Linked DNA regions of Tribolium castaneum. The protein of the gene in region 1 binds, or shares a complex with, the protein of each later gene. Links are inferred from orthologs where the notes say so. Each region holds a gene or a part of one and is shown in the gene's direction. Other genes may lie near its edges.

Evidence for each region.
Region 2: IscU (region 1) and bcn92 share a complex: the UniProt entries of both Drosophila melanogaster proteins name them as parts of the mitochondrial core iron-sulfur cluster (ISC) assembly complex. The link is inferred for Tribolium castaneum from reciprocal best matches to the Drosophila melanogaster genes IscU and bcn92.

What each region holds. Positions count from the first base shown.
Region 1 is NC_087396.1:14,883,238-14,885,577, forward strand, and holds IscU (iron-sulfur cluster assembly scaffold protein IscU), read left to right. Parts: upstream 1-1,184; 5' UTR 1,185-1,280; coding exon 1,281-1,736; 3' UTR 1,737-1,840; downstream 1,841-2,340. Other genes in the region: structure-specific endonuclease subunit SLX4, read right to left, coding at 1,845-1,925, 1,976-2,340. UniProt on the Drosophila melanogaster protein: Scaffold protein for the de novo synthesis of iron-sulfur (Fe-S) clusters within mitochondria, which is required for maturation of both mitochondrial and cytoplasmic [2Fe-2S] and [4Fe-4S] proteins.
Region 2 is NC_087396.1:23,067,655-23,069,859, reverse strand, and holds bcn92 (protein bcn92), read left to right. Parts: upstream 1-1,227; 5' UTR 1,228-1,293; coding exon 1,294-1,370; intron 1,371-1,413; coding exon 1,414-1,534; intron 1,535-1,583; coding exon 1,584-1,652; 3' UTR 1,653-1,702; downstream 1,703-2,205. Other genes in the region: Mettl3 (N6-adenosine-methyltransferase catalytic subunit), read right to left, coding at 94-541, 589-1,170; Mat89Ba (nucleolar protein 6), read right to left, coding at 1,703-1,825, 1,870-2,205. UniProt on the Drosophila melanogaster protein: Stabilizing factor of the core iron-sulfur cluster (ISC) assembly complex that regulates the stability and cysteine desulfurase activity of Nfs1 and participates in the [2Fe-2S] clusters assembly on the scaffolding protein IscU.

The sequences.
Region 1 (2,340 bases):
AATTTACAAAATATAAGCTTATTGCGACCTTTTCGTGTGGTGACAAGAGACAACACTTTGGAAAAAATATTTAATAGGTTAGTTAATACAAAAATATTAGGTATTTACAAGAAATATGTAATTATCGATTCGTGTTGTGCACATCAAACAAAGTCTCGTCTTCTTCGTCCTCGTCAAGTGGAAGAGGTGTCATCTCTATGTCACTGCGCCGTGTCCTCACACCGTATTTGCTTACCATCACAGGTTGTTTGCTTTTTTTACTGCTAACAAAACCCGTCAGTCATTAGAACAACAAATTACGTGCTAATTTACCCGCAATAAGTCTTCAAGGCCATGTAAACAATTACTAGAGCTGTTAAAATCACCACAACGGAAACACCCCGCAAAAGGGCACCCGATTCCATTTCCGTTGGTTTGAAAACTTTGTGATCTTCAACTTTCGTTTCATTTTTTTCGAGTGTTTTGCTCGGTTTTTTTGGTTCAGGAGGTACTTCCTGAGGTTTGACAGGTTGGGGTTCAACCTTTGCTTCATTTTTTATGTGCACTGTTTCTACATGATCCTTAGGCTCTTCTGCTTTGCTAGCTTCCACTTTTTTTCCGTCACTCTGAGGGGGTATCACATTCAGCAAACGCCGGTTATTAACATAAATCACTTCATTAGTTGTTACAATAAAGGTTAGGTGCGAAAACACAAACAAAACAACAAAAGGAGACATTGGATAAATTAACCACAAAAACGCATCAAAAACTTGCAGATTTTTTAATCACATTTCACTTCTTTTACGGGGTTTAATCATTATTTTGTATTTTTTCTTCCAGCATATTGACAACAGTAACGTCACCTGTCAAAATGTACAGTTTTTTAAAATTTGTTGCTTTTATAAACGCAAAACACGATTAACCAGTTTGAATAGGGCAAACACAACAATTAACTCGTTTTATCAATTAAAACAATTTAAAACTTTAAATATTTTGCTAATTTTGATTTTATAAACTTTTTGCTTGAAGGTAGTTGCCTTCGAATGTAATAACGCCCGAAAAAAATATCAATAAAAACTGAGAGCAGTGTTTTCCACTATTTGTATTGTATTCAGAGCATTGTGCAATTTTGCACTATGAGTATTATTGCATTTATTTGTCGATAAAAATATTTTAAATAAATGATTCGTGAATCGGTACATTCGGGCGCAAGCTCTACTTGCCTGACGTCAAATTTGGAGGTTAAATTGGTCAAATAAACATTTGATATTCGCGAAGAGTGATAGCGCAAGAATTGAGGCATGGCGTTGAGCTCCTCCTCAAAATTGTTGCGTGCCGTGGAGCCGCTGAGAGTCCTAGCAGCTGCCTACCACCCTAAAGTGATCGATCACTACGAAAATCCGCGCAATGTCGGCTCCCTTGACAAGAACGACGAGTCCGTGGGCACAGGCCTCGTGGGGGCCCCGGCCTGCGGCGACGTCATGAAGTTGCAAATCAAGGTGGACGAAAATGGGAAAATCATCGATGCTAAGTTCAAAACATTTGGTTGTGGGTCAGCCATTGCAAGCAGTTCTCTTGCTACAGAATGGGTAAAGGGTAAGACAGTTGATCAAGCCCTTGAACTGAAGAACACAGATATCGCAAAAGAGTTGTCGTTGCCTCCCGTCAAGTTGCATTGCTCTATGCTGGCGGAAGACGCGATAAAAGCGGCATTGTCTGATTACAGAATTAAGCAGAAGAAGAAGGAAGAGAAGTAAATGGTCAACGGATTTAAGGGTTGTGATATTTAAATTGTAGTCGGATTAAAATTAAAAGCTTTAATGTGTAAATTTGCTAAATTTAATTAAAGTTATAAATAAGTCCCGTCATTGTTTTTTTCCGATACTGCGTTGACCTTGCGCTGTACGTATCGTTATGCACTTTTTATCTAAAAATGTTAGTAGATCCTGAAACACGTAATTGGCAAAAACAAATATTTTGTAAACACTGAACTTACCTGAATATTGTATTTGAAACCTTGTTCTTTTAACATTGAATGTAAATTCTCCAATTGGAGGGGCTCATACAGCAATATATCTTCCCTAATTTTGGGGTTACTCATTACTAAATTGTGCCAGGCGATGTGCAAAGGCAATCGACACGATGCTATTCGCTTTGATTGGGTTCTTTCAAAAATCAATTCCTCCTCTTCTCCTACATCACCGATAATATCATTAAATTGGACGAGATTATTAGTACGTCTTTTTTTTACAATTTTTCCATCGTTATCTTCAACTATAGGATGCGTCGCCTCATAAATATATTTCAGTAGCTTAGCACCTTTACTTCTTTTGAGCGGTTTCAGGCCAAACTTATCCAGTT
Region 2 (2,205 bases), about 8.2 Mb from region 1:
GGCTCATTTGACGTATTATGGCAGCTTTTCACAAGATTTTAAATTTTGGAAGTCACGACCAAACGCAAATATTATTAAGACCGACAAACAAACCTAAGACAGTCATGTCGAGATAGCGCAGGTCGCACTGCACCCACTGCGGGGGGTACAAGGTAGTGCTTTCTTTTGGGGCCACTGAGACGGCGGTGGCGGCCGGGGCTACGCCCTCCGTTTGCCCACAGCGATCGACTTCATAGTGGACGTATTTACAAGTGTCCATGTGGAAACAAGTGTTAAGGAAGGAACAATCCCCTAAAGCTTCGTCAGTGTGTTTTTGTATGATTTTTTTAAAATGCAATTTTTTGCAGTCTGTGATTCCGTTTCGTTCGCAGTCGGCGCGAGTCCCATGGGGGCAAAACTCCATCAGTTGTTTGCCCCCTTGAGACCTGAAGCGCTCGGCCAGCGAACGCTCTTTGGCCGTTGGTTTACTCAACAGATCTAGAATTTCTTCGCCCAGTTTTTTACTCTCTTTTTCTTTCGTTGAGGGCATTGATAGTAAAGACTAGGGAAATTAATTAATTAAAAGGACAGAATCAATCAGTTAATTACCATGATGTCAGCTTTTGGTTCCTTCTTCTCTTTTTTCCTCTTCTCTTCGTCTTCGTTTTTCTCCGAGTCGTTTCGCTTCCGCTTCAGGGATTCCCTCACCCGTTCAGGCAAAAACTCCGCAATCATTGCGTTAACTTTAGTCACATCGATAAAAGTCACTTCGACCACGTTCTTCCCCTCTTTGACTAAATCCTTGATAGTGATCAACTTCTGAGTTGAGAATTTTTGCAACAAATTGCAAACTTCCTTATGTGAGGCATGTCGCTTCAAAGTCAATTTCAACGAATCGACCAATTCCGTCGAAGTTGTGGGGATCTGAAGAGTGACTTCGCTCAGCGCCTTCAACAACTCTTTCTCCAGCTCTGGGTCGATTTTCACCAAATCGATTTCACCCTCCTCTGGTCTTTTAACATCTTCGCCCCCAACACCACCCGCATGGGGGCTGTCGGACAGGTGCACAGGTGACGAGTTGAGACTCGAACCAAGGATGTCCTGCCGCTCCTTCTTGCGCTTTTCCAGGCGTTCGCGCAGGATGTTCCGCTTGCTTTTGATAGCTTGGATCTCTTCCCAAGCGTCCGACATTTCAAAAGACTATTTTCCGCCAAAAAAACACAACTAACACATGTTTGAGGTTACGGCTAACGCTAACTAACACAACCTCAACTCTTTGGTTATGTTCTTTCGGTTTCGTAAAATTGGGGCAAAATGAGTAAAAGACAGGCGTTGCAGTTGTATAAAGCTCTGATTCGCGAGTCGAAGAAGTTTCCGGCTTATAACTTCAGGTAAGGGCGTTTTTGCAAACGATTTTTTCATTGGGGGTTGTAGACACTATGCCTTAAGGAAGATAAGGGACAGTTTTCGGGAAAATAGACAATTGACTGACCAGGACGTGATTAGGCAAAAAATGGATGAAGGAGTTCGTAATTTAGATGTAATTAAAAGACAGGTATTCACAATTAATTCGTTTAGGGGTTAATTGACGTAATTATCTCCAGGTGGTCGTAAGTCAATTATATAGCACCGAAAAACTGGTTATTGAGCACGTGAGGGCCCAAAAAAACTAATTTGTAAGGTTTGTAATGGTTAGAAATAATAAGAGTAATTGTTTGATTTTTTATTTCTTCTTATCAATTGACTTGACTAAGCCTTTTCCCACAATATAAAAGTCTTCAATCAACGCATCCACGTTCAGCTCCAATTTTCCATTCACAAGTTTCCTCCCGCTTGCATAAGACACCTAAAAATAAATGTAATAAATCAAAAAACATCTAAAAATCTCACCTTGAAGTCTCGACTTTCCAAAGCTTTAGGTATCCACAAAACCCCGATAAAATTACCTCCGTACGTATCGTGGAAAAAATTGGCAAAATCGCCGTAATGTTTGCGCAGTTCGGCCAAATACAACTGAACTGGGTTAAAGCCAGTGACTGGAATTTTCGTGCTTTCGTTTCTGTTAAATTCCTCCAAAACAATTTGCCCCTCGGACTCGTCCCCAGTGACTTGTTCGTGTCGTACGGGGTTCAAAAGGGGGCGCAAGTGAATAATAACATCGTACCCCTCAAGATTCGGAATAAACAAGCTTTTAATTGAACCAAAACTCTCTCCTTTGATGATTTG